7 linked regions of the Oryzias latipes genome follow. The protein of the gene in region 4 interacts with the protein of the main gene of each other region in a pairwise test. Links are inferred from orthologs where the notes say so. Each region holds a gene or a part of one and is shown on either strand. Other genes may lie near its edges.

What was found.
Region 1: the proteins of txlna (region 4) and btf3l4 interact in binary tests that used the Homo sapiens proteins (3 or more experiments, as listed by UniProt). The two-hybrid records come from large-scale screens. The link is inferred for Oryzias latipes from reciprocal best matches to the Homo sapiens genes TXLNA and BTF3L4.
Region 2: the proteins of txlna (region 4) and med4 interact in binary tests that used the Homo sapiens proteins (3 or more experiments, as listed by UniProt). The two-hybrid records come from large-scale screens. The link is inferred for Oryzias latipes from reciprocal best matches to the Homo sapiens genes TXLNA and MED4.
Region 3: the proteins of txlna (region 4) and keratin, type I cytoskeletal 13 interact in binary tests that used the Homo sapiens proteins (3 or more experiments, as listed by UniProt). The two-hybrid records come from large-scale screens. The link is inferred for Oryzias latipes from reciprocal best matches to the Homo sapiens genes TXLNA and KRT15.
Region 5: the proteins of txlna (region 4) and dystrobrevin beta interact in binary tests that used the Homo sapiens proteins (3 or more experiments, as listed by UniProt). The two-hybrid records come from large-scale screens. The link is inferred for Oryzias latipes from reciprocal best matches to the Homo sapiens genes TXLNA and DTNB.
Region 6: the proteins of txlna (region 4) and rint1 interact in binary tests that used the Homo sapiens proteins (3 or more experiments, as listed by UniProt). The two-hybrid records come from large-scale screens. The link is inferred for Oryzias latipes from reciprocal best matches to the Homo sapiens genes TXLNA and RINT1.
Region 7: the proteins of txlna (region 4) and cep44 interact in binary tests that used the Homo sapiens proteins (3 or more experiments, as listed by UniProt). The two-hybrid records come from large-scale screens. The link is inferred for Oryzias latipes from reciprocal best matches to the Homo sapiens genes TXLNA and CEP44.

The regions. Positions count from the first base shown.
Region 1 is NC_019875.2:4,321,099-4,325,322, forward strand, and holds the start of btf3l4 (transcription factor BTF3 homolog 4), read left to right. Parts: upstream 1-1,424; 5' UTR 1,425-1,768; intron 1,769-2,471; 5' UTR 2,472-2,483; coding exon 2,484-2,537; intron 2,538-3,553; coding exon 3,554-3,667; intron 3,668-4,224. Other genes in the region: txndc12 (thioredoxin domain-containing protein 12), read right to left, coding at 1,060-1,159.
Region 2 is NC_019879.2:14,006,626-14,010,632, reverse strand, and holds the start of med4 (mediator of RNA polymerase II transcription subunit 4), read left to right. Parts: upstream 1-1,207; 5' UTR 1,208-1,247; coding exon 1,248-1,321; intron 1,322-1,571; coding exon 1,572-1,638; intron 1,639-2,079; coding exon 2,080-2,250; intron 2,251-3,257; coding exon 3,258-3,315; intron 3,316-4,007. UniProt on the Homo sapiens protein: Component of the Mediator complex, a coactivator involved in the regulated transcription of nearly all RNA polymerase II-dependent genes.
Region 3 is NC_019859.2:29,293,824-29,297,915, forward strand, and holds keratin, type I cytoskeletal 13, read left to right. Parts: upstream 1-1,292; 5' UTR 1,293-1,466; coding exon 1,467-1,877; intron 1,878-2,159; coding exon 2,160-2,242; intron 2,243-2,321; coding exon 2,322-2,478; intron 2,479-2,552; coding exon 2,553-2,714; intron 2,715-2,804; coding exon 2,805-2,930; intron 2,931-3,398; coding exon 3,399-3,619; coding exon of another isoform or gene 3,620-3,623; exon of another isoform or gene 3,624-3,629; intron 3,630-3,716; coding exon 3,717-3,720; 3' UTR 3,721-3,730; intron 3,731-3,813; 3' UTR 3,814-4,016; downstream 4,017-4,092.
Region 4 is NC_019869.2:26,641,672-26,645,171, forward strand, and holds the end of txlna (alpha-taxilin), read left to right. Parts: intron 1-810; coding exon 811-981; intron 982-1,045; coding exon 1,046-1,240; intron 1,241-1,323; coding exon 1,324-1,443; intron 1,444-1,528; coding exon 1,529-1,603; intron 1,604-1,674; coding exon 1,675-1,767; intron 1,768-1,840; coding exon 1,841-1,936; intron 1,937-2,044; coding exon 2,045-2,341; 3' UTR 2,342-3,304; downstream 3,305-3,500. UniProt on the Homo sapiens protein: May be involved in intracellular vesicle traffic and potentially in calcium-dependent exocytosis in neuroendocrine cells.
Region 5 is NC_019880.2:83,019-86,518, forward strand, and holds part of dystrobrevin beta, read right to left. Parts: intron 2,072-3,500; coding exon 1,947-2,071; intron 1,136-1,946; coding exon 1,045-1,135; intron 543-1,044; coding exon 454-542; intron 1-453.
Region 6 is NC_019881.2:11,288,139-11,292,244, reverse strand, and holds the start of rint1 (RAD50-interacting protein 1), read right to left. Parts: upstream 2,801-4,106; 5' UTR 2,763-2,800; coding exon 2,565-2,762; intron 1,107-2,564; coding exon 981-1,106; intron 1-980. UniProt on the Homo sapiens protein: Involved in regulation of membrane traffic between the Golgi and the endoplasmic reticulum (ER); the function is proposed to depend on its association in the NRZ complex which is believed to play a role in SNARE assembly at the ER.
Region 7 is NC_019859.2:27,433,464-27,437,702, forward strand, and holds the start of cep44 (centrosomal protein of 44 kDa), read right to left. Parts: upstream 2,801-4,239; 5' UTR 2,646-2,800; intron 2,416-2,645; 5' UTR 2,407-2,415; coding exon 2,315-2,406; intron 1,396-2,314; coding exon of another isoform or gene 1,380-1,395; coding exon 1,232-1,379; intron 1,129-1,231; coding exon 991-1,128; intron 233-990; coding exon 158-232; intron 1-157. UniProt on the Homo sapiens protein: Centriole-enriched microtubule-binding protein involved in centriole biogenesis. In collaboration with CEP295 and POC1B, is required for the centriole-to-centrosome conversion by ensuring the formation of bona fide centriole wall.

The sequences.
Region 1 (4,224 bases), on a different chromosome or scaffold from region 4:
TCAGATACTAGCTGAGCGTTCACTCCTGTCATTTCACTTGTTTTCTAAGATTACATACTTGGTACAAATGAGCACATTTTCCATCTCAACCCACTTTGTTTTCCTTCAGGATGCCATCACCAGCTCAGCAGGAAATATCTGTTTCCTTAGCAGACGACTTTGACTTTTATTTATTTTAAACATGCATCTAAGGCGAGGCCAGCCTGAGGTCAGACTGTCTTCACATTTTCAAACAATGTCAGCAGCGAAAGATAATCCCATTTAGAGAAAAGCTCACTGAATTTATCGTCTGAATCCTTTCAGCATCAACTGTTTACTCCAAGCTCAAGGTCCACGGGATAAAGAGCACGCTGTGACCCGATAACAAATTCAGTCCTTTTTTTTTTTTTAGCTTTTTCTATTCCCATCAGCATAATGTTTATCATGTTATTCTGTCTTGTTTGAAAGCAGCTGTAAAGACACAACTTTCTTTAAAGTGGAGCTTTCATTATTTCCTTATTTTACACCTACCTACCTTGTTAAGTTCTGCAACCTGCTCAGCATCACTAAAGGCGCTGAATTCCCTGTTAGTGTGGTTCATATTTGAGCCCAGTTTCATTTACACACACATAAACCACAGGATGCATCCTGTTCTGCATCAGTTTGGCTGTTTCCAAAACATCTTTGGACCAAATCATCATCATGTGCACACAAGTTCAGTAAATGCACAACAAAAGCACTGAAGAAGAAGTGTTAAGTTCGTTACAGTTCATGCATAAAGTCCTTCAAAAATTTTACTGACATTCCCTGAAATCCATTCAGATCACCAACTTTTACTATGATTATTTTGGATAAAAATGAACACAAACACTGGGCAAACGGTGAGATCTTTGAACCAGCAGAAGAACAACTTGTGAAGTCTAAGAAGGAAGCAGCGCGTGAAGCAGTCAACAGGATGCGGGCTTAGCGCTTCAGGATGCGGGCACAAAGACAGACAGACAGGTGGCTCTCCTCTTCTTGCGGGAACGGCGTTACTACTCCCCGGCGTCTGCGCCGCAAGCGCGCCCCCGTCGGACTCACCTCTGCCGCTGGCGCCGTCCACCAGACCGTGGAGCCCGCACAGACACACCAGGACCTTCAGCAGCGTGAAAGCGGCCATGTTCACCGAGGACGGCTGCATTTTCCGCGGCTTTCTTCCTCACGTCTGCGGCTACAGGGTGATATAATGGCAGTGCTGGTTCACAACTTTCGACCCGGACGTTCAACGGCTGCTTTTCAAAATTAAAGCCCGTGCAGGGTGATTTTCAAGCCGAACGTTGCGTACACACGCGCACGCGCATGTGCGCGAGTGGCTTCCTATTGGTCGACAGATTCCTCTTGCCATTTTGAGGCCTGGGTCACGTGACATCATATCCACACGACCGCGTGCTCCGCCGATGTGCCCCATTAGTCAAGGCAGACAGCAAAACGTCGGCCGGAGACAGGAAACAAAAGCAGAAACGTGCATTTAAAAGCCCCAATCTGCAATAATCATCACAATCGTTTAGCCTGTATGCTGTTTTAAGAAAACTATATGCACTTGTATTACTTTTGTCACTAAATAATTGTACAATTACTTAACGATTCTTCAAAAGATTCCCGAATCTTAACACTTAAGGATTTTATTGTGAAAACTCAAAGCGGAAGTGATTCCTTAATGCCGTAAACTCGTCGATGCTTCTGTAAGCCTCACTGCTCCTTTTGTAGCAAGAGAAGTTCAACGGAACCTACATATTTTCTTCGTGCTCAGGTAAATTGAATTCATTGCATTGCTTGTAAACATCTAAATGGTCTAAAGTAGCTGTAAGCTAACAGTGTAGTCATGAACCCACTTTGGATGGAGCGTTACTTTGCTGCAATGCTAGCATTAGCTCAGATAGCCTGGCGTTTTAGCAACCCGATTAGCTCCACTCGTGTTCAAAATAATCATCTTTTATTTTTGATAGTCGCCTTACAACAGTCTCCAGCATCGATAATCTAGACGACCCGGCCGTCTGGTGTTCTATTTGTATTGTTTGTTACTGGTAGAATCGGAATAACGGTGGTTGTTGCCTAATAACTCGGTGTGGTTTAGCTTCACATGATCGTGCAGCCCCTTCAGCGAGCCTGTAGGAAAACTCTCAGGGTTAGACTGTTTGACGGATCACCAAATTCCAATTTATTTACTTTATATTTGGATTGATTGTGAGTTGACGTGGTGTTATGTGAACTTTTTTAAATTAAGTTAAATCCATTAAATTCAAACACAAATCCTTATGAGTTTAAGCTACTTTTTTTTAAATGACATCAGACATGTCTGATGTCATTTAAAGTGACTGCATAAGATTCATAGCTAACTGTATTTTGCCAAATAATAAAAACTGTCCTGACAGTGATGATGATCTCATAATCTTGTCTCCATATCTGCACATCCAGACTGAGAATAACGACATTTGTTGTGTTTCTTTTGGAAGAACCAGAACACTATGAATCAGGAAAAGCTCGCCAAGCTTCAGGCCCAAGTCCGAATAGGAGGAAAGGTAATGGCTTCCAGCATTTTCTCTGCTGTTGAGTTTTTTTCCTGTTATGGTCTCCTCTGTGGCTCATTTTGGAGTGCAACGGGTTTTTCAGCATTTGTGGGGTCGCTGCTGCTGACCTCAGCGTTTTCTCTTTGTTTCTGTTTTTGGCCCCTTCATCTGAGGCCCCTGTGGGTTTGTTCACAGCTATGTGCCACCACTTAAAAGCCAACTAAATGTACATAATCCCTACATTTTTATTTTATCCTGCTACTACAACTTAATTTCCTTACCGGGTTGAATAAAGTTAATTTTAATAATTTTGTTTGAGCCAAAACAAAAAAACAATTTAAGTGTTGTGGTTTTTTTTTTTAACCCATTGATGCCTGAATTTATTTCCAGTTATGGGAAAAGTCACTTGTGTTTTGCTAAATTAAAGTACTTTTGGAACTGAAGTAGTTTGGTGCACATTTGCGTCAATAGACGCCACAGAGTTAACCAAATCAGTCCTTTATTCACAGCAACAGAGCACATTTATAGAATTCAGACAAAACAAACAAATCAATTCTGCAAGTTTGCATCTGAGGGTCAAAGCTAAAAACATAATTGTAGACAAATATCTTAGTTTAAACCAGATTAAATACTACAGTTAATATTAAATGTTGATTATTACTATTATCATTTATTTGGGATCATCACATGATTGACGTAAGTTATAGATTATTTGTAGGAAAGATTTATCATAGAAAGTTCATGCAAGACGCTTTGGTCTTGCATGAACTTTAAATATCAAATATATTAATTAAATATATAAATATAATATGATAAAATAAGTGTACTGTTGCTTTAATTCGACGAGCTTTTGCCTGTTAGAAGATCACAGCCGTTGCTTTGAAATGAATAAATTACAAGCAGAAACGCGAGATACACGGCGTGACCCGGTGTTTAATTGCTTCTGACATTTGGGTTCAGTCGACTCTCTCATCTGTTTTTTTCTTTTCTTTCCACAAACACCCGTTTTTTTTTTTTTTGTCCCTCAGGGAACCGCTCGCAGGAAGAAAAAGGTCGTTCACAAGACGGCGACGGCGGATGACAAGAAACTGCAGGGCTCTCTGAAGAAACTGGCGGTGAACAACATCGCAGGAATAGAGGAGGTGAGCCTGAGTGAGAAGAGCGAGCCGCCGCCGCCGCCTTTCATCAGTCCAGCTCCGGTTTCAAAGCGGAGCAAAGCTGCAGGCGGTCGGGGCGGTTTGTCGTCGGATATTAGAGTCTCAGCGTTCAGTTACGTCCAAATCCCGTCAAAAAAGTCCAGAGGATCATTGACTATTAAGAATTTAACCTTCAAAACGGTTCACTTTGTTTTGTTTGACCTCAATTCCTTTAACAACCTCAGCTCTGTGGCTTTATTTTTATTTGTTTTGTCATTTTGTCGTACAGTATTAACACACTGGACCAAAAATCCACACAAGAAAACAAAATCTGAGATAGAAGTTTGAATTATGTTAATATTAAAATCATAAAAATGTTAAACGTACTCTACTTTTACACTTAAATGAAAATATACGGTAAATATAGAAACACTAGGAAGTTGGCAAACAAAAAAATGCTGCAAATGTCTTTTTTGTTACGCGTTTCAGAATGATAGACAGACACAAACCCATTATGAACATTTTCCAGCTGAACTCGCACGGCCTCGTCACCAGGATCTTCA
Region 2 (4,007 bases), on a different chromosome or scaffold from region 4:
GGGGGGGGGTCTTTTAAAAAGTGACTTCTTTCTGAATCACCTTATTTTCAGACCAGCCTTGTCTTTGTGAACATTAGGTTTCAAATGAGAAACAACTACACAGATATGCTGACCTGAAGATTATTCACAACCACAAAAACAGAAGTATTTTTTTAAAAAACGTTTTAAATTAAAAAAAAAAAACAGTAATGAAGCCTCTAAAATTTTTAAAAGCTTTCACTTGGATATTTTGGGGGAAATGTTCATTCTTGAAGACAAACATATATGGTTCAAATTCCTATGAAGTCAGTATGCAGTTTTCAGATGCAATGGCAAAAATGCATTTCATTTCCATCTTTGAATCCCTCTTATTTTGACAATCAGGAAGTGGCCTGGTTGCAAAAAAGCTTCACTATTATCTCACTGTTGGCAGCCTCAACAAAACAAACTTGCTTTGGATGTGTGTGTTCATGCTGAGTCAAAGTCAGAGAAACTTAGACTACCAAATAGTTCCTTAGCACAGCTATAGTGCACTGCTACCCAGGGGATGGGTCAATGCACACAAATAATGAGATTTTATCCTGAATTTAACATTAACACTTTGACCCATAACAAAATAATAATAAAATAAATAAAAAATCAGGAAGTCAGAGTAATCTTAGTATTAATAAACATTGTTGCAATATGTTGCCTAGTTTTGTCTTTGCTTTTTGTATTGTATCAGAACAACTTTTATCATGGAAAATACATTCTTAAAAAAATGTATGCAAAGAGATAAATAGGCAAATAAACGTACTACATATTTAGTTCAAGAGAAAAAGTTGCTTTTAAATCGTTTACGTAAATTACTAATTACTAAAATATTGTAATAATTCCTTTTTTTTACCCTGTAGACATTTTACATCCTTTATGCACTAAAATAACTGCAGCTTGTCCAGTATTTTTAAAATAGTAATCATTGTTTAGATCATTTTGCAAAAACTTTAGAACACAGACTGAAATAACTTTTGCAAAATTTGGCTGTTTTCATCAACATTTTACATCTGTTTATTTAGTAATTTAAGTAAAACAATTTACAAAAAATATTATTACTTTTCTATGAATTATTATTATCCGTGGTTCCAAAAATAATTTAAGATTTTCCTCCTTGGAATAGGCAAAACGTACTTTTTAGCATGATATTCCTTTTGCCACCACTAGGTGACAGTAACTTACAATTTGAGGTAAAGTCTTTATTACGTCATATCCTTTCTGCTTTAGAAACAGGTATGGCGGCGGCAGCAGAGAAGTCAACAAAAGAGCGGCTACTTTCTGTGTTGGATGATTTGGAGGTGTTATCGCGGTAAAGGAAACAGCTCATATTTTGTTTTCCGTGTTGTAGTTAGGTAGCGACACAGTAGGCGGGTTTACGGCTTGGTCTGCACAGTCCTGATTCGAGTCCAGAAGTCCAGTGGAGAGTAAAGGCTCATGAGGCTTAGTTCACGCTTTGAAATTAAAGCCCCCCCCCCGGGGGGGCTTTAAATGGCCTCCGTTGTGCCGCGTACTCCACAGCTCCTCGTGCTGAATCCTCCATGTCTGCTCTTCTGTTTCAGGGAGCTGATCGAGATGCTGGCTCTGGCCAGAAACCAGAAAGTTCCTCAGCCAGGAGAGGACACACAGGTGAAGGACACAACTTTTTTATTCTAGTTCAACACTCCAAAAGAGCCACTCCAAAGAAAATTGTGTTTTTAAAATGTTCTTGTGGCATTTTAAAGATGGTAAAAGACATTTACAAAAAAAAGTATGCTTAAATTGTATTTCTGATTATTTCTTTAGTTAAATAGTTGTCATCAGGAGCAGATCATCTAAAAACATGAAAACAACAGGCTTGGCCTCAGCCATCAGGGCGGCCTCTCTCTTGATATTCCAGCATTTATTTGGATATGGCCATGTTTAAAAAAAATGAAGAAAAAAAACATTTCATGTTTTGGGTTTGAGCTGTGCAGCACTGTCACCTCTAGCCATTTGAAATGATGCTGGTCTCCATGGAAGCAAAGGCCACAGTCGACGTCTGATCAGTGCTGCTTCTTGTGTTTATTGGAGAGCCTGTTTTGTCTTCAGATCCTGGAGCTTCTGGTGCAGAGGGACAAGGAATTCCAAGAGCTGATGGAGGTGGCCCAGCAGCAGGGAAAGATTCATCAGGAGATGCAACTGTTGGAAAAGGAAGTGGAGAAGAGAGACAGTGACATCCAGCAGCTGCAGAAACAGCTGAAGGAGGCAGAGCACATCCTGGTGGGTTGAGGTTGTGTGTATTTTTGCTTCATCTGATACTGCTGTAAGGTGATGTAGTTACATTCACAGGTGCATTAGCAGAAATCCTCATTCTTCTAGCACATAGGCAGATTAAGCCAGTCTAATGCATTCTCCATATAGGCTGCTGTAAGCAGATCTATGGCTGTGCTGGCTTTAGCATTTGTTGAGTAAAAGTATAAAAACTCTAAAAGGCTAAATATCTTTTGCTGTAAAAAATTAACTCAATGTGTTGTAAATCTGGCAGTTTACTACAACTGTAAAAAAAAAAAAAAAAACCTGTGACAAATAATTTTTTTTGTAACATATATGTTGAGAGCTAAGTCAATTAAATAATATAGTTCAAAGTAATCTAAAGATTGCTTAGTCATCTGGGTCATTACAAATTTCACCACTGTCTGAAAGTGTAACAGTTTAAAGCAGTGCTTTTCAAATAGTGGGGTGCGCCCCCCCGATGCGATGCCGGGGGGGGGGGCGCGCTATAGTGGCGGTTTTAGGCACAGGTTATACAGACAATTGTCCGGTGCTCATATTTAACGTGGGGGCGGTGATGACAGCGGCTCAGTGCTTGGGGAAAAAATCTGCGCCTCTATTCGGTTCCTATTGTCTGTAAAATCACAGAGTTTGTGACAACCTGAAACCTGTGAATTCCTGTCCCTGTAGCTGCGCGCTCCCGTCTCCTGTCACACGCGGCTGCGTGTGTGAGAACGAAAGGGGAGGGGTAGTGGGCTCAGTCTGCCAGGTGAAACGGGGCACGCGGAGAACTGCAAGCCCTGTTGCCCAACACTAGGATCATCCCATGCCTTTTGAGGACTCAGCTAATGCTAATAATGTCATTCTTTATCAACTATTGTAGACATTTTGATGATGCTTCTTTTCCAGCACCTAAAACAGAAAGGTGTAGGAATGACGGGGTCACTGGATCCAGATCTAAGATCACACTTGGAAAGCAGCTTCTGTCAATCTAAACTGACTTTTTCTCCTTCAAGGCCACTGCAGTTTACCAGGCCAAGGAGAAACTTGCTTCCATTGAAAAGGCTAAGAAAGGTGAGCAAACACACTTGTCTTTCAGTCTGTGGATTTGGATGTATCATTTTGTGTCTGGTAACATCCAGATACTCAAGCAGCTGTGTGACTTCAGCGTTGACACTCAAAGATTTTAGTTTAAGGTTTTCGTTAAAGAATTCATTCCTTCTTCCATTTTAGGTAGCATCTTCATCTCTGCCAAAAAAAATAATTACTCTCTTGTGCCATCTTTTTGTATCGACTCAAGATTTGGCATAAAAAAACATTGGTTCTCATTAAATGACCTATATCATGCAAAATCAATTTTATTTTTAGCTTTTTATGTATTATATTTGTTAATTCCTCTTGAAAAACGACCCCAGAAGAGTATTTTGATCCTTTAATGCATTTCTGAGTTTTCCTCTAAAAACCTGCTCTCTGAGCACCAGCCCCTCCCAATCCCCAAAAACAGGCGGGTTTTCATATTGCAACAAAAATGAGCTGCTAAGAAAACCGGTATTTCATTTAAAAATTGATGGGGCGGCAGGTGCTTATGCAGGTGCTTAGGCAGTTTAGCAGATCGTCCAATGGTCGAAGAGTCGGCGGTTTGATCCCTGGTCCCACCACTCAACTGTCGTTGTGTCCTTGGGCAAGACACTTCACCCTCCTTGCCTCCAGTGCAGCTCCACTGCTGTGTGAATGTGTATGAATGTCCTGGTGATGGTCAGAGGGAC
Region 3 (4,092 bases), on a different chromosome or scaffold from region 4:
ATGGTTGGCCCTCAAACATTTTCGTCTCACCAAATCTGGTCCTCTTTGGTTTATAGACAAAGTGGTCAAATGTGGAGGCTCCTATTGTTGCAGATCCTGGATTTAATATGTTGCTTCCTTAAATGAAAAACCTAAAAACGTAATTGAACGTCGATCCTCTATCTATAACATACAAACAATCACTTGAGAATCCATAAGAAAAATGCAGGAGTCGCTGTGTTCAGAAGAAGACACAGAATCCTATCAACAATGGAAATGTCATCATCTGCTTTATCAATCAATAAAATGCAGTGAATGAACCAAAGAGAAATCTAAATCGATCATGGAATGACTTTTCTTCCTTTGGAGTAGAGGACTTGGGCGGGATTGGACCCACCTCCTCCAGCGTTAAAAGTACAGCAGCATGGATGGAACAGATCTCTGATCCTCGGAGCACAAACCAGATTGTTTTTCTTCTCAAAGTGAGGCCATCGCACAAACAACGGTTTGTCTCCATGCAAGTGTGTGCAGCTTTGGGGGGAGTTGAGCAGCAAACTTTGCTGGCAGCTCCAAAGGAGAATGACTTCACTTCTTCCTGACGAGGCAGCCCTCCCCCCGCAGCCGATGCCAGATGTTTCTGTGCAAAGAACCAGGCTGAGATAAGCTCCACACACTAACACACATCAGGTCAAGACCAACACATGTGAGACGGGATGTTGTGTGATTTCCTGAACAATGAAGGGGGGTGAATGATAATGTGTGGATAACATCACATGTTTGTGGTTCGAGGCTGCAAAGCCTGCAAGTATCCAGTCGGCTATGTGAGCTCTGACCACATACAGACAAAATGATTGAATTTAAACAGAGCTGATAACAAGAATCCATCCTGGCTCCTAAAGAATTCCTGAGAGGGCCTCTGACTGCTCAGACTATCAGAACGCATTTAAACTCAGCTGGACAAACAAAGTGAAATAATACACCTGGGAGGTTTAAACCGTAACTGTGGATATTATCAGGATGAAACATGCCGCTCACACTGACTATTGACTAACGGAGGGGCAACAAAACAATAAATCTACCCTTCCTTTTCTCGCACTGAGCTGCCAAGTGACTGGCATGATCAGGACAATACCTGCAGGTATTTCTGAGCACACGTTACAGTTGCTTGTGCTCACATTCTACAAGGAATCATCAGGGTGCCCATGAAGATTCTCCTCTGATCTGCTCACATTCCTCACCACTTTCCTCACAGGGGTGGAAAATAACCAAATCCCAGAGCTTAAAAGAAAACAAATGACGGTTTTGCACAGCCTGAGCCTTGACTGCAGAAACTTCCTCCTCCTCCCCACGTTCAGAGCCCGCCCCACATTCAAAGCTATTTTAACGGCCGTCCTCCCTCCATCAAACTCCACAGTCCTGCAACAGTCCACAGCTGTGAAACACTCGTCTCCTCGTCTTCTCCTCTGACAAGCAGAAAGTCAGCCGCCATGTACAACAGGAGCATCGCCAGCGGTCCTGGGCTCACCATCACCAGGCAGAGCCGCAGCTACACTTCAAGCGCTGCTCCCCACAAAGCTCACAGCGTGTCCGGTCTCAGCTTCATGGGAGGCTCCCGCATCTCATCTGCCACCGGGCGTACCGTCTCCTCTTCCTTTGGAATGGGTGGAGGGTTTGACCTGTCCAACGCCATGGACCAGAGCTCCGTGCACCTGAACGAAAAGGCCACCATGCAGAACCTGAACGACCGTCTGGCTTCCTACCTGGACAAGGTTCGCAGTCTGGAGGCGGCCAATGCCAAGCTGGAGAAGCAGATCAAAGAGTACTATGAGCAGAAGGGCCCGGCAGCACAGAGGGACTACAGCAACTACTGGGCCATCATCAATGACCTGAAAGACAAGGTATGGTCTGTGCCTCTGCCACCTGCAAATGTTTGCCGTTCCTGTCAATGATTTCCAGACAACACTTTTTTAAAGTGAACATATCTGTGTTTTCTTTGCGGCTGAAAGATTCCACAAATGAACCACAAATATTCAGCATGACAGCTTAACAGGAGGAAGTCAAACGTGCCCTAAGGACACAATTCAGTTGATGTAACAGAAACATCTGAAGTTGTGTAAACAGTCATCAAAGCGTGCCGCTCTGCACATGCCTGACACTAACTAACCCCATCCCCGCTGCAGATCAACGGTGCCACCGTCCAAAATGCCAACATCCTGCTGCAGATCGACAACTCCAAACTGGCTGCTGATGACTTCAAAACCAAGTAAGCACTGATTCAGAGGGCCTTCATGCAGGCTCTAGCGGGCAGTTGTCTAACATCAGGCCTCTTCCTAACTTACCAGGTTTGAGCACGAGCTCATGATGCGACAGTCAGTTGAGGCTGACATCGCTAACCTCCGCCGCCTGCTGGACCAGACCACCTTGACAAAGGCTGACCTGGAAATGCAGATCGAAGGTCTGCAGGATGAGCTGGCCTACCTGAAGAAGAACCACGAGGAGGTCAGTGATGTGACACCTGGTTTTTATAGTCTCTGCAAACAGACACCAATGCTGACGTCCCCTGATGTTTGCAGGAACTGGCAGCCATGCGCTCTCAGCTCACGGGCACAGTCAACGTGGAGGTGGACGCTGCACCTCAGCAGGACCTGAACAAAGTCATGGAGGAGATCCGTGCACAGTATGAGGCCATCACAGACAAACACCGCCGCGACCAAGAAGCCTGGTTCACTGAGAAGGTAACAGGAGTTCCTCTGTCAGCAGGCCAACCTGTCATCACACGTATAATCATACAGACCTCTCACTCTGTCTTCTTTTCTAAATTCTAGTCATCAGCTCTCAGCAAAGAGGTGGCCGTTAGCACAGAAGTAATCCAGACATCCAAGACAGAGATCAATGACCTGAGGCGCACACTCCAGGGCCTGGAGATCGAGCTGCAGTCCCAGCTCAGCATGGTAAAGACAAACGTTTGTTTTAAAATCTTTCCTTATATGACCAAAATCCCCAGATCGCCCAGAACAGAGGGCGAGGAGCGAAGGGGAGGATGGGAAAGAGAGGCAATCCTTAAGGAATGAAGGGAGGATGGAAGGTGGGAGGGAGACACTTTGTTCTGGGAAACATTTCACAGACATCTGCCTGAACTCTGGAAGTCATAAAAAAGCTGGAGGAATGAGAGGCTGTTTCTGGTTGGGGTTTGGGTGCCCAGCTGCAGTCAGTCATTCAGCAGGAGCCTCCCACTGCCATTGTGTCACTGAGGAGGAGAGGCAAAGGGACACTTACCTTCAGAGCCAGCTCTCTTTGTTCTCTTACAAAACAGGAGAAAATGCAAAGCAAACAAACCGAGTGACATACTGCATCCAGGGTGGGGCGCGCTGAGCGCAGCTGCAGGATCAGTGATCCACAGCTTTTCTTTACCCCAACAGAAAGGTGCTCTTGAAAACACGTTGGCAGAGACAGAGGGCCGGTTCAGCGCCATGCTTAGCGGCTACCAGAACACAATCAACATGCTTGAATGCGAACTAGGCCAAGTGCGCGGCAGCATTGAGCACCAGGGCCAGGAGTACAAGATGCTGCTGGACATCAAGACCAGGCTGGAGCAGGAGATCGCAACCTACAGGAGACTGCTGGAGACTGAGGAGGCCAGATAGACAAAGGTGCACACAATCACAAACGTTCAAGTAGAAATACATGATTTGATCCTCTTTGACTCATCTTTGTCATCTCTTCTTCTCTCCTTTTAGATAAATGACTGCAGGTAAGTTGGTTTATTTGAGGAAAAGTTCACAGGAGGAACTTGAAGAATTGTGCTCAACCAGTTTCCTCCCTGCCTCTTAACAGGAGGCTTCAATGACACATTCACAACCACCACTGTGCCCACGTCCAGCCAAGAAGTCCAACATGCAGGCCAGAAACCAGAGGAGACCAAAAGGCTCGTTTTCCCAACATCTGCTGTCATGAGAAGAAGAGCTGATGTGCGGCGCTGTGTGTGTGTTCATGTTTGTGTGATCTGCCAAAGAAAATAAACCTGCTGGTGAAGATAAGACCTGTGTTGTTCTAACTTCACTGTTCTCCCACGACTTCCAATTCTTTTTCCATGACCTCACTTTGTTTGTGTGG
Region 4 (3,500 bases):
GCACCTCGTCCATGTGGCTGGATGTGTTTGTCGGTGATCTTTTCGCTGCAATAGGAGCAGAAGATGAACAGCTTTTCATTGTTATTCACTACTGCCCCACTGTAGTCGTTGCCCTGATGGAAAGATGACGGCGTTTCATAAAACGAAAGCACCACGATGGGCCTCCATGAAAATGTTCAATTTTCATCTCTGCCTTCAGTGGAATGGTGACTGTAGAGACACTTAGTCCATCGCTCCAGTCACTCTTCCAACTTGGGCCGCCACGCCTTGTTTCCACGGAAACTCAGCTGTGTCATCTTGATTGTTGGAGTTTGTTTTCCAGCTTCCTCCACTTGTGAACCATGGATTCATTCATCTTAAATTCTCTGCAGCTGCTCGATTCCCATGTTCCTCTGTGTAGCTGATAGCTTGCAGTTTAACTGTGCTTCATTATTGTGTCTCTGTGCAGCATATTCAGGCTTTCCAAACAATGTTGTTCTGCTTAGTGCACATACCTGCACTTTAGTACTATTTGGGGGGTGTCTTCTTTCACGTCCTCACTTCTTTCCTCACCGTTGTCATGCTGTCCTCTCCTACGTCCTCTTTACCAAAGTCACACAACAACACATGAGACGCACCGCACCATAGGGCGCTCCGTACATTTTGGAGAAAATATAAGACTTTTAAGTGTGCCTTATGGTCATGATGATACGGTGTGGTTTTTTCTAGTCTGTCAGCATCATGGCCTGAAGTCGCCTCAGTTCCAAAATGTCGGTCTTTCCAGCACAGTGGAACAGTCCGTGTGATGACCGAAACCTGTCTGTTTTCCAGCTGGAAGAACACCGGAACACCCAAAAACAGATGCGAGTCCTGCAGAAGAAGCAGAGCCAGCTGGTCCAGGACAAGGACAACCTGAGGAACGAGCACAGCAAGGCCATCCTGGCCCGCAGCAAGCTGGAGAGCCTGTGCCGGGAGCTGCAGAGACACAACCGCACCCTGAAGGTGAGGAGCCCACAGCGCTGTGATGCTGCTGAGCAGCCAGCTGGAACAGTGACTGTCTCTGCAGGAAGAGGGCATACAGAGAACCCGGCTGGAGGAGGAGAAGAGGAAGGAGGTGACGTCTCATTTCCAGGTGACGCTGAACGACATCCAGGCTCAGATGGAGCAGCACAACGAGAGAAACGCCAGCCTGCGGCAGGAGAACGCAGAGCTGGCCGAGAAGCTCAAGAAACTCTACGAGCAGTACAAGCTGAGGGAAGAGGTAAGTCCTGGTCCTGCCCCGCGGGGTTCAGTCTGCTGTCAGTCAGGGAGGCTTCATTTCCAACTGTGCCCTCCCCCAACCAGCACATAGACAAAGTGGTGAAGCACAAAGACCTGCAGCAGCAGCTGGTGGACGCAAAGCTGCACCAGGCGCAGGAGCTGCTGAAGGAGTCTGAGGAGCGGCACGAGAGGGAGAAGGACTTCGTAAGGATGTTTTTTACCCAAACACCCCAGAGTGCTGTTCACGGGGTCCTGGGACACAAATGTTATTTGGTTTTTCCCCGGACAGCTGCTGAAGGAAGCCATCGAGTCCCAGAGGATGTGTGAGCTGATGAAACAGCAGGAGGTTCACCTCAAGCAGCAGGTTGTCCTCCTTCTCCCCCCTCAGCTCCGTGTCTTCTCTGCTTTCCCTGAATCTTTTCTTTCTCTTCTCAGCTGTCGCTGTACACGGAGAAGTTTGAGGAGTTTCAGACCACGCTGTCCAAGAGCAATGAAGTCTTCACCACCTTCAAGCAGGAGATGGAGAAGGTGAGGCCCTGGAGGCTCCGCCCACTCTTGAAATGTGGCTCAAGCTGCTCCAGCAACACTTTTCTGTGTTCAGATGACCAAAAAGATCAAGAAGCTGGAGAAGGAGACGGCCATGTACCGCTCCAGATGGGAGAGCAGCAACAAGGCTCTGCTGGAGATGGCTGAGGAGGTGAGCTGCTGTCTGTGCTTCTCCAAAGAAGACGTGCTGTCTGGAAAAGCCCCCAAAACACATGCCGTGTGTGTGTGTGCGTGTGTGTGTGCGTGTGCATGCATGCAGAAGTCGCTGCGGGATCGAGACTTCGAGGCGCTGCAGCTCAAAGTCCAGCGGCTGGAGAAGCTGCGGCGAGCGCTGAAGGTGGAGCGAAACGAGCTAAACAAGAAGGTCCAGGGCCTGTGTGGGGAGCCATCCAGCGCCACGGGGGCTCCAGGCGCCGACCCGGGGACCGACTCCCCGTCCCCACCCCCCACAGACTCTCTGCTGGAGCCCGCCTCCTGCTCCCGCCCCTGCCAGTGTGAGCCGGAGCCCAACGCCCCCCTCCAAGAAGCAAGCGCTGCTGCCCTGGCTCAGGAATGAAGCCTCGGGCTCCTGCAGCAGCAGCAGCCCCCCCCCCCACAGCTGCTGCTCCTCCTTCACACGCCGCTGGAAGAAACGGGACAGACGGAGCAGAACGGCCGGCGGGTCCAACAGGTGTCCGTCTCTGCAGACCGCTTCTCCAAAGCACTTCAAATGTTGCAATAATCCCATTTCCTGCAATAATCTGATTTCCACCTCTTGCTGGTTGTCACTTCTGCCGCGTTCTGATGTTGTAGTCTGCGGCGTGGAAGGGCGGTCCTGCAGCGCGTCAGCCGCAGTGTGGGACGTAGTTTAGCGTCAGACCCAGTCTCAACAGAGACTAACTGGTCTTTAGGCAGCAGTGTTCTGGGTCAGGGGGAGTGATGAAGGCCGTTTCCCACAGACTCATCTCAACCTCTGCTGGGGGCCGCGGGGCTTCACCCCTGCTGGGGGGGCGTTGGGGCTTCACCCCTGCTGGGGGCCGCGGGGCTTCACCCCTGCTGGGGGCCGCGGGGCTTCTGGCTGAAGTCAGACTCTGGGATTGTCTCCTGGTCCGCAGAAGCTCAGATCAGGTTTTAGCAGAAGAATGTTCCGGCACTTCTATGCAACGCTCGCTTCCTGCTGTCGTGTGCGGCGGTCTGAAGCACTTTGACGAGAATGTAATTCTGTTTCCCGGTTGGATCTCTGTTGACTTTAAGGGAATGTTTGGCGTCTGCCATGATTTTAAAAATGTTCACAGCCGAACGGAAAATAGAGAAACTTCAGATTCTTTTGGACTTTTTTCTCCAACCCTTTCTTTTTTCTTTTTAAACTTTTTTCTGCTTCTTTGTTAAAATGATGAATACTAAAATTCAAAAGCTAAAGTTCATTTCCTCTGTTGTGCCCCGGTTTATTGGTCTGAAGGAACCAAAGATCCTCCCCCCGTCTGTTTTTGTCTGCTCCTGGATGTTTCCTGCTGAATAAAACTCTAATGTGTTGAGGAGACTCTTGGGTTCTTTTACTCACTATGTCAAACATTTGATCACCTCTACAAAAAGGATGCAAAACTTAAACGAAATATTGAAAATGAACGAAAAAAATGTATTTTAAAATTGAAGAAACACTGAAAATTAAAATAAAAAAACAGTAAAACTTATCAAATGGAAAAAAGTATTGAACAACTGCTGTTTTGTTTTTTGAA
Region 5 (3,500 bases), on a different chromosome or scaffold from region 4:
AACAGGCTAACTCGTAGTGTTACATGTAGTTGGCGCGTGGTTAAGGCATGGCTTGCATGTGGTTATCGTGTGGTTAGCATGTGGTTGTGACCTCTGCTAACCTAACCTAACCTAACCTAATAATCTGCTTCACTATCGTTATGGCCGTTCTGAAACAGACGTCTGATAACGAATCACCTTTCAGGTTTAGATCCGTGAGGCTAGTCTTCTCGATCACACCTTTCAGGAATCAGCGGTTCTTCTCTTGGGAACTGAAGTCTCCCATTAGAACCTCTGGGTTTCCTTTAGAACACTTTCTGGTCTCCAATTTAGAGACTCCAAATAGACCAGGTGCTCCGTACTGTTGTTATGTCCGTAAGCCACAACCACAGGCCCCCCACCTCAGCCTTATGTGACAGCTGAGCTGGGGGGCCTTGGTCCTTTTTGGTTTGCGCATGAAGGTACAGATTTTACCTGTTTTTGTTCTCCAGCTCAGCGATCAGCTGCCTCTGCTGTTTGCTAGCATCAAAGTTAAAGCCCAGGTCTGCAGGTGGACACTGCTGCTGGAGAGACAAAGACAACCGAGTTCACACTGCTGAGCAGATGAAACAACACAGTCCTGAACACAGAAACCAGGCTGAAAAAAAGCTTTTTTGGTCGATATTTTCTGACTTGAGGATACCAGTGTGTGAATGTGTGGATGAATGGGAGTGTAAAGTGCTTTGGACTTACAAGGAAGGTAGAAAAACGCTCTACTGTACAAGTACATGTCATTTACTATTCAACCTTTTCCTATTTACCATTTTATCATTTACCTTTTTACCTTTTTACCAGCAGCGCAGACAGAAACTGGTTTTCTGAACTAAACTCAAATCTATGGTTTCTCCATCTGTACAGACTAGAAATGAAAACAGAGGTGAAGGGGCCACCAATAAGGTGATATCTTGACTCTGATCAGATGATTACGAACATAAACTGTTAGATAAATTCAAGTACTGAGGATTTCTGCAAACGTTGAGTTTAAATCCTAAAAACAAACTAACAGAAGTGAATCCCAAAACTGACCGCAGAGTTCCCTGCTTCAGCTGCCAGCCGGGCAGCGTATCGCGCAATGAGCCGGTGCTCTTCATCCAGACGACTGGGACTTTCCAGGATCCTGTAGGAGATCAAACTCAGATTATTCCGGATCCCAACTTCCCAGATCACTTCATGGAAGAGAAGCAAAATGTTGGACAGATCAAATAAAATAAACACTACTCTCTTCTTCATTCAGAGTCTGTTTGGATGAACATTTCCACGACTCTTTAATGTTTCATTCTTACAAACAACCGAATGACTAAAGAACCAAGAGAAGAAATAACATGCTTTGTTCTACAAACCAGAAAACTGAGATGTCATGAAGAAAAATAAATCAAAGACCATCATCTTCTCCAGTTGCTGACATAATTCATCCCATAAACACGATGGTTTATAAGATCGGAGGCAGGATTGATGAGGCCTCATCCATTATTTAGACGATCAGCCAAATATGAGATGTTCCAGAAAGTTCGTCTTGTGTCTGATTAGAACATCAGTCCAGAGGTCCAGTGGAACCTCCAGATGTTCCTGTTCCTCAGCAGCGTCTCTCATGGATCCATGTTTGTCCTAAAGTCTCTTTCTGACTGTTGGATCATGACCTTTGACCTGACCTGAGTCCAGTGAGGTCTGATCTTCTGTCATGACCTCCTGGACGACTCCTCCTGTCCTTGGACCCTTTTTGGTCTCTGGTTCCTGTAACTTTGTCCTGGAATTTCTCTAAACTTCAGAAATGCCGGTTGTAAGCGAACGCGGTCTAAGCTTCGTCGTAGCTGTAAGGTTTGACGGCAGTGGCTCGACAAGAACGACATGCTACAACCATCTACCATGAGAATGAGTGGGTGGGGGCGGGAACATACCTGCTGTGTGATGATAGCTGATGACATACTTACACAGTGTGGGGGGGTTCTAATGGTCTCTCTGCCTGCTCGGGGAACATGGGGTGGGGGGGTTCTCCTATGGGGACGCAGCCCAGAGATTTACTGATAGCATGGCTCAGCTTTTTGGCTGGGGACTTCTGTGGGAGGGGGCAAGACAGATCACAATCAGGTCAAGCTTCCAGACCGCCCTGGAGAAGTTGATTTTCAGAATCCTTAGACCAGGGGTCGGCAACCCATGGCTCCGGAGCCACATGTGGCTCTTTCATCCATCTGTTGTGGCTCCCTGTGACTTTGGAAAATAATGAGTATTTTATAATAATTAAATTTTATTTTAGTTTGTTCATTTTTCATGGCATTTCAAAGGCGCTGATGGCTCCGTACGAAGCGAGTGCCACGTCAAAAACAGCTTCCTTAATGAGCTCGTATTTATCGGGCGAGACCTGCAGAGCTGATAGCAGGAGGAGGCACGCGGGGCGGCTTCAATAAACACTCTGGTTGTCCGGAGTGGTCTTCTGCCGGGAACTTGACGTGCCGCGGAGCAGAGACCAACTTTCTGATGACAGAGAGTTTGCGCCAGTGTTGCCAGATACAGTCACAGTTTTCCAGCCCAAAAGTCATCTGAAAACCGCCAGACCCAGCCAAAAACCGCCCAACACAGCTTTTGTTGATGTTTTTTTTCGTACTGGACTGATAAAATAAAAGATTTTTTTAAATAAAAGATAGTTCAGACTAATAATAAAATGTGTACAATATTGAATATTTCTTCAGCGGGCCGCCTTCTTCCATTCATTTGCTTAACCCGCTCTCTCCCCGCTATGACCTGCGTCCGGCTCTTTCATCCTTGTGCTGCGCTGGAGCGCCCCGACTACCGTGTCAACCTATGATGACCGTATTTTGTGCTCTCTGTGTAGGACAGACTGAGGAGCGCGGGGGAAACAACTCTCAGCAGCAGAGGATGTGAACAGGTGAACAGGTAGAGAGGAAAAGCAGGTAAAGAGGCTTTGGCTTCAAACTCTGTCAGAGATGCAAACACGGGCGTCAGATTGAGACGCAGCTTTCCCTGCAGGAGTTGAAACAGAGACTTTCTCTGGGATGATTTTATGAACTCAAACATGGAAACATGATTACCAAGTAGAACTCTTCAAAATAATAAACCTGATCTCTCCACATTCTCAGTGTCTACCATGCATTGATGCACACATCGCTCCATGCAGCGATCAGACCAGAACCAGTAGCTCCTCCCACACGCGGCCGCGGTATCATCCTTTAAAGAACACAAAGGTCTAAGGCTTAGACCTTTGCTTCAGGAAAAGTTGGAATCAAAAGTTTGACTTCTGGAGATGATCTATGCCCCCACTCCAATCATACATGATCATAAAATTATGAGTCTGTCAGAAAACATCACCGTGGCAACCAACTTAGATTGTTTTGGTGTGTCAAAAACTATCAGTCGGTCTGAGATTCTGCAGGTTTTTCCTGTGAAAAACCAGAGTTTGGTCTGAGATGTTTATTAGCAAAAGTGTTACAGACGTAAAAACACAACCCGTCAGTTTGTCGGACTGACTC
Region 6 (4,106 bases), on a different chromosome or scaffold from region 4:
TTCTTTTACTTTGGCTTCTCCCATCAGGGGTTGCCACAGTGAAACAACCCTCCCTTGAGGAAGGTCACATGGTTAACTTGGCAATGTTTTTATGCCGGATGCCCTTCCTGACGCAACCCCTCTCAATCCAACTGGGCTTGGGACCGGCACAGCAGCAGAGAGGGGAATAGGGAGCGGCCTGGATTTGAACCCTGGTTTCACGGACGGAAGGTGCCGCAACCCAGCACGAGCTAAACCGGCCCCCATTTGACCCCATTTAAAATGCACGAACATTATTAAATGGAATAACACTTGGAAAAGCTTTTATTACTCTCAGCAGAGAAACTTAAGATTTGTATTTAATTTCATAAAACACGTCTGAAAGCATAAGAAATTGGTTTAAATAAGGAAAAAGATTTAATTTGAAAAATTTCCTTTTAAGTCTCACTCTGATCATCTTTTGATCTGATTTCAAAGCGTTCCCAGTGGTCTTTTAATGATGATGATGCCGTTTTTAGCCGAAATCTAAAAAAGACTCGTTTTCTAGGACATACTTTCTGTAGAGTAGCAGGAGTTCACCAGAAATTCATCTCTGAGTTGTTGGGGGGACTGTTAGTTGAAAACAACCCCGCCCCTCTTCTCTTCCAATTACATAGAGCTTGAGCAGGGAGCTTCTGGCGTATTTTCTACGTCACAAGTAGGATTTTTTTCAAACAGCATCTTTTCCTCTGCTCCTGATTCACAACGACTTAAACATTATAAATACTCAGAAATGTACTTTTAATGTTCATTTTCATTAATATAGGTCCTTCGTTATCAGAAGAATTCTACAAGAACATGTTAAAACACCAAAAATACTATTTTCATTGGTGTGGGTCTTTAAGGAGTTCATTGAAGTAAGAAGCTGATCGTTGACCTTTGCAGGAATACTCAGAGGCGCTTTGTGGTTCCGACAGCTGCAGTCCGAGTCTCCTCCTGAGATGGGGGGGCTGTGGACCTACCTGCTGCAGCTTGCTGGAGATGAGCTCCTCTCTCTGCAGCAGCTCCTTCAGGCTGCAGCCGGCCTCCTCTGCAGCAGACAGAGCAGCAGAGACCTTCGGCGGCACGGAGCTGCTCACGGTCAGGACCTGCAGCACACAAGCATGTTCCTCTGGTCATGATGCTCTGAAGAAACAAATGCAGACCCTCACAGATGTCCTCCTGCACACTAACAGTTCATCTGTTATGTAAGCGACTTGACGAGTTGCTGGCTCTGGTAAATTAAACTGAGGAATAAAGTATGTCAATGTAGAGTTAACAGGAAGATCTCATACATGTTTTGGATAACACAGAAAAGTGCTCCTACTGATCAATCAGAGCACTCTAGACCTGATGTTTAAGTTCTTTTAATTGGATTTAATTATAATGAATACCCCTTGTTGGTGTAAAAGTAAAGGTTGGAAGTTTGTTATGATACAAAACTTCAGAAAGTCACTATTTTAGTTGTATTTTGATCTTTTTCTGTCGTCATAAATTTAAATGAAAATACCTCAAAATGAGGCTTTTCACAGACATGATTAGGGTTTGGTTGAAAACAGATTAACTAATTACAGGTCATAGTTAATAACATGCTTCATAGCTCAATTGTCCCTAGGTGTGTGGTGAATGGGTGTGTGATTGTGGCCCTGCGACAGACTGGCGAACAGTCCAGGGTGTACCCTGCCATCGCCCGCAAGTGGCTGGGATAGACTCCGAAAGGAACAAAACGGTAGAAAATGAATCAATGAATGAACAATAGCCAGAATAGAGCCATAAAACGCGTCATGAACCAGTTTCCCAGAAGAGAACTTCCTGTCAGACTCCCTCCAACAGTGTGAACACGTTTCATCTGCTCTGAGGAACAAAACACAGCTGGAAGTCACTTTGGCTTTAGCCTTTTCCTGGACGTTCAGAGGCTGATGCATCCTCCTTGCAGAGGTCTCCTCAGCTCCTCCAAAGAGACAGCCTGAGGACACGACCATCGACTCCACTGACAGGACCTCCTCCTCATTTAAGGTGTCTCCACGGCAACCCTGCCACCAAACTCTCCCTTCCACAAACCGATCTCTTCTGCTCAAAGAGGACAGCATCACTGACCCCTTATGTTTTAGATTCACACGGTTAGATTAAAAAACATTTTATATTTTAAAACCAGTTTTATTTGATAATAAAAACGGCTGTTTTAAACTAAAGTCAGACTTTAACCAATAAAACCACGAATTCTTACTTTAAAAACAGAAAAGCAGTTTTAACCCACGAAAATACAATTATATAGTTTAAAGGAAAAAATAGAATTTAAAAAAAGTTCTTCATGAACCATCTTCTTCCTCTGACATCTGCAGGCCATTAGATGGAACCACGCATGCGCGCTTCCGTACCTGATTTCAGGTGAACTCATCATCCGCTTCTGTTTAACTATCAATGTCTTTGTCATTAGAGCTGACAGCTCTGAAACCGTCCAAGAGTGTGCTGCTCAAAGGCTGGAGGCAGCGGGTGTTCGGCTCTCACAGAACCAGGTCCACAGCTGCTCTACCCGAGCTGTTTACAAACAGACCGGCGGCGCTCACCTGCTCCCCCAGGGCGACGTTCTCCTCCTTCAGCCTCTCCAGCAGCCCCTCAACGCCGCGCAGACTCTTCAGCTCCCCGGCCTCCCGCTGCAGGACCTCCAGGCCGAGGTCCCGGAGGCTCCCCGGGGCTTCGGGCAAAACCTCACCGGGAGGGTTTGGGGGGAAACCCGGACTCGGGGACAGCTCTGCAGCCGCCATGCTGCTGCGACGTAGCCTTCAGTTCTTCTTCGAGTCTCACCGAGGCTGCAGCCATTCGTCTGAAAAAGCTCGTCAGTGCCCCCTGCCGCCCAGACCTCAATCCTGCAGCCATGTGTCGAACTACTGTTATTCAAATACTGAGTGTCAGTTATTTAAAACTAATTATATTCATATTTATGCACACATATATGTGTGTATGTGCGTGCCTGTGTGTGTGTTGGGTAAATACCTACCATGTATCATAATTTGAATTTTCTTTGTTTCTCTTTATTTGTTTGTTCTTAACTCTACTCTGTTATCTTTTTTTTATTTCTGTTATAAATCTAAAAGGAGGAACCCCTCAAAAACAATTATATTGCATCCCATTGCTTATTAAATGTTTAAATAAATTAAAGAATGAAAATAAATGTTTATTCACTTTGTTTTCAAAAGATTATCAGAAACGTATTAAAATTTTAATATTAATGGATTTGTATACAAATTTGAAGGTGAAAAAGTATAATTCTACAAGCTACAGGATTGTCTCAGCAGTTAGATGAGTTAATTCAAACAACATCTGTAATTAAGTTAATTGATTATTTAAATGAGGAATGTGGAGGTGTGTATGCTCTTTGATTTTGCATTTACTTGATTCTTTATATTCATGTGTGTTTGGCAATAACTCTTGTGCTCGCTTGCTGTAAACTGAACAAGTGCTGAACTCAGCACAATGTTGTCTGTTTTCTTGTCTGCACTGAGTGGATTTCCGACTAGAGATGCAGACGTGATCGTCGTTGACTGGCAGGAAAATATCTGCATGCTTGCACGCACAGACACAGCTTCTAATGACGTATTTTACATCTTTAAATATTTTATAGTTTGGGGAAGTCCCCTCAGCTTACGGTAGTTTTGAACTGTGGTTTGTTGGTGTTGAACGTGCAGAACGTTTTGGTCTGCAAATGCATCATTACAAAAACTGATATCTCTCAGTTCATCCAGATCTGAGGCTGTAGCTTTGATTTCTCTGTTCGTCTGTTCGGTAGCTGGAATGAGATGGACTAGACTCAGAAAGTCCTGAAGCAGCTCTGGGAACAGAGCAATATGCATTCTTTGTTGCAGTTTAGCAGTGGTCCAAAGTGATCAAGTCTCTGGTGGGACCAGTCACGCGCTGTCTATATTTAGGTATTTCAACTTTAAGATTTGCTCTGTGTGATTTGGAGTGTGGTCTTATAACTCATCCATTTATTATGTCTTATTGAAATTGCTTTGTCTCAGATATGAATTGGAATGTAGTTTGAATAGTCCCTCAGAAATGTCTAAAAATAATAAGGTAAAAGAGTTCAAAATGTACCTGGAAAAGAAATA
Region 7 (4,239 bases), on a different chromosome or scaffold from region 4:
GAATTTTCAAAAGGTAGGGAAGAGTTGCTTTAACATACAATCAAGTATTTTAAGACTTTTTTGCCAAAGTGAAAAAATACTACTGCAAATGCTAAGTTGCATATAACCTTTAAGAACAGCACTTATTAATTGTTCGTGTCAGTTGACTTTGCCTTACACTGGGAGGATCAGGGTTTACTGTATGACCTTCCACTCCAACATCACTGTGTGAGACAGGGCGTCTGACTTTGGGCTGCAAAAGACACACAAGGAGATTAAAAGTCCTTTAAACTTGCATGACAGTTGTGTTTTTAACATGTTAGTGCAGCATTTTCTGATGATGGAGGACGTGTATGAAGAAAAAAAGCTTAAATTAGCATTTTCTGAGTATTTCTTCAGGAACAGACAAAAAAATGCTGTTGGCAAAAGCTTGTAGTTGTTACAAAGAAACTACAATCAGTGGGCCACAAGTTCCCTGCTCTGCTCTATTTCTAAAACTCAACTTAGAAATTCATTTGAATTTCTAGTGAACTTCTGCCGCTCTGCAGAAATTATGTCCTAGAAAAATGACAGGTTTCTTCTTTTTTGGGGGGGCTAAAAATGGCAAAATCATCATTAAAAGACTGCTGGGGACACTTAGAAAATAGATCAAAAGATGATCAGAGTGAGTCGTAAAGGTGGCATGTAAAAAAGAAAACAAATCAAACAGCCAAACAACTCATTTCTAGAACTTGATCAGACATCACTATTTGTTTTCCCCAAGACAAATAAGAAACATTATAAACATTCCGGAATAACTGTAAAGCCACCAAATCTACAAATATACTGCTTGACAGTAAATATAATTGCAGTAGTGTTCGAAGAGTTGCAAAGAGATGAACTATTACCTGAACCAAAAAAATGATCTGCTGTAAAAACAGATTTTTAAATGTCATCAAAGACGGATATGTTTATAATTATTATGACAGAAACGTACAACTCAACATCAAATGAATACAAGAGCCCACACACCTTTTTTAATTGGCCGTGTTTTTGCAGCACCAAGTTAATGATGTCACAAATGAAAGAAATTTTCCTTTGAGAAAAACCCAACTGGAAGAACTGCTGTTTGGAGAGTACGGGCTTGTAGTGGAAAACATCCCGGAGCAACTAAAACACAAAACAGTCGAGATAAAGAGGCAGGAAGAGCCCCATCACAGAGGTAGAGGCCGGTCCGTTTGATGAAGAGTCGTTGGTATATTCCTGAACGTACCTTGTAAAGAGTATCTGTGAAACGGAGGTCTGTTTTCCCAATCAGTTCAAATCCAGCTGTCATGAGCAGCTCAGCAAAAGGTGGAGAGAAGGTGGTGAGGGTGAAGCTCGCGATTGGCAAAAAAGCTGAAGGATCTCCTTTGGAAAGCCTGGAAAAAATTACAACTTTTTTTGTTTTTATTCAAGTTTGCTGCCATTATAATAAAATGTATTTTCTGTTTTCTAGATCAACCTGTATTTATTAGAATTGTATCTTTCTGAATACCAGAAAAAATATATTTTTCAATCAAAAATGTTTTTAATCCACAAAAACTATAATAGCCAGAGCCCCACACCTTTGCACTTTTGGTATCATTAGAAAGCCCCAAATGTTCTCTGTAGATACAAAAATGAACTTAAGTCCCACTTCAATTATCTTTTGGTCTGTTTTAAGTGTTTCTCAGATCAGAGGTCCTTTAATTATGATTATGCCGCTATAAGCCCAAATAAAAAAACAAGTCCCATTTTCTAGGACAGACGTAGCTTCTGCAGAGCAGCAGTAGCTCATTAGAAATTCTCCACTGAGTTGTAGACAGGACATTTGGGGCAAAGAAAGTCCACCCCACTACCCGTCGCCCATCTGATTACTCGTTCTTCTGCTGGCTTACACCCCCTCACACCCTCAACCTAACATTAGTAGTGCCATAATGATGGCAAGCATTTCAGAGCTATCCAGCCGCACAGTTTTGAGCCAGATGCCAGCTAAAGGAAAACAAAGATGTATGTGGATCTAGTAGTGGATTAATCAGAATGGAGGGAACACAGGATATTTTCTGTCACTAATACAATCTTTTTCAAAGGGCTTTTTTTTGTCTGCTCATACCACTTAAATAAAAACATACTAAGAAATGCAATTTTGAGTATGATTTTCTATATATTTTTCCTCCATCATCCGAAAAATGCCACAATAACATGTTAAAAACAGCATTTTCAGTGGAGTGGGTCTTTAATTCAGCAGCATGCAGTGGTTGGGAGGCATTCAGGATTAGAAATGACCTATAGAGGACACATTTACATGACATAATTGTGGCACTTGAAGCCTTACTTGTTATAATCGACATCCTCTGGGTATTTGATCACTCGTAAAAGGCTTTCCAGTTTACGAAGACCACTCTGCACATCTCCAGTGGAAATCATGGTGAACTGCTAAACAAAGGAAGGATAGGAGGGGGTACTTCAAAAAGAATATAAACTAAATTATTACAACATTATGCATATAAACAATGCAGACGGAATGCAACAAAAATTGTAAAATTAGCTAAACTAGCAAGCAAGTACCAACACACAATCTGAGCTCGAATTTGATGATGATAACTTCGTCGATCCGGATAAAACTGTGACGTATCGTTCAAAAGATAAAATGCGGTTTGTTCTACCTGTAAGCAAAAGGAAAGCAGCGCTTCAAACGCACAAAAAAGAGCAGAAAAACAACATTAGTTCGCTTCTGTCGCCGCCCTTTGATTTGTTTTTACCGCCGTGTCGAAATGATGACGTAAACTTACTGCTCCAACCCATACGCTAAAGAAAACTTTATTTAAAAGAACACGTAAACCCACACGTTTTAAAAAAACTTTATTTGAAAGAACAAACCCCAAACACCCCGGTGCTGACTGTGACCATTGACTTACTGTACGGTCTATACCTGTGACCGAAGGGGGGCCATTTGCTGCTTGTTTGTAGCTTAGGGTATTGTATGTTTTGGAAGTTTACTGTGATCAGATCGTTAACTTTTTTCAAGACGTTGTTCTATTTCCCTTTGAGAATTAGGATGTTAACACTGCAACAGCCAGTGGTTGTCAACAACAACTTGTGACTTAGTCCTAGCTCTGGCTGTGCCGTTTGAGCATTTTAGGGTTGGGTAGATTTAGAAAGGTCCAGCACAGACTTTAGTGTACATGTTTAAACATTTAGTACTGAAGTGCTCTGTGATTTAAATAGAATTTGTCCCTAAAATGTGCACTTTAATCTGTAGTTACAACAACTTGAAGGCTTAAATTACTACACACAATTGTTTTGAGTGTGAGAACATGATTGTGTCACAGGTCTGCCAGCACAAGATCTTACAGTTCTGCCCCATGAGCACTTGCAATGTTAGACTTTAAAAACAAGTTTATTTTTTCTCATCACTGTTTTTATTGTGACAGAGCATTCAATTTAAATATTTTTTTCTTTAAGTATCACAACCCTTAGCAAAAGGTAGTCTGTTAAAGTGTGGGACAAAAATACTTAGTTTATGCTAAAAGTAGAAACTAAGTTTGCTTTCTATATACTATCTATGTATTGTAAACGTAAAATGTTTCAATTTAATCTGAAGAAATATTCAGTTAGTGTACTTCCTACACTATGTACATGGTTGACAGTATACTTGCTATATTTACACTCAAGTATTCTTAATGAAATTAACTTAAGAAGGGATTGCAAAATCTTGCTGAAGGGAAAAGAATGGAATTGGAATGTTTAACTGCAAAAGAAAACGTTTGCTACGCAGTTACACCTTGTCTTAACTCAACTTTAGCATTTGAAAACAGAAAAGGAAACTTTAAAGAAAACTTCATAAACAAGTTCTTCAAATTTTACCATTGGAATAATGTGTCTGATGACAGAAAACAATGTTTCACCTGTTGGGAAGGGGCGCAAGGTAAGAAGGCTAAACAGCCACAGCTAGCAGTAGATGGGGGATTGGTTCATCTTTATAATTTTTCTTTAACTCTGTGTTGCAAATGCTCAAATTAGTTAGCTGTAAAAGTTGCAAAATAAAGATAATGCATTGATATCACTGAGGGCTCTGATAACTTACTGTCAACAACAAAGGTGGGAAGTATCCTTGCATTTTTATTTTTCCTGAATTTAAGTGAGGTAAGGATAAATAAATAAGGTGGAAACTGAGTTTTCTGATTTTTTAAATAATAGGCAATTCTTTAAGTACTTGAGGTAATGATTGATCCCAGATCAATTGGTGTTCTCTTTGAA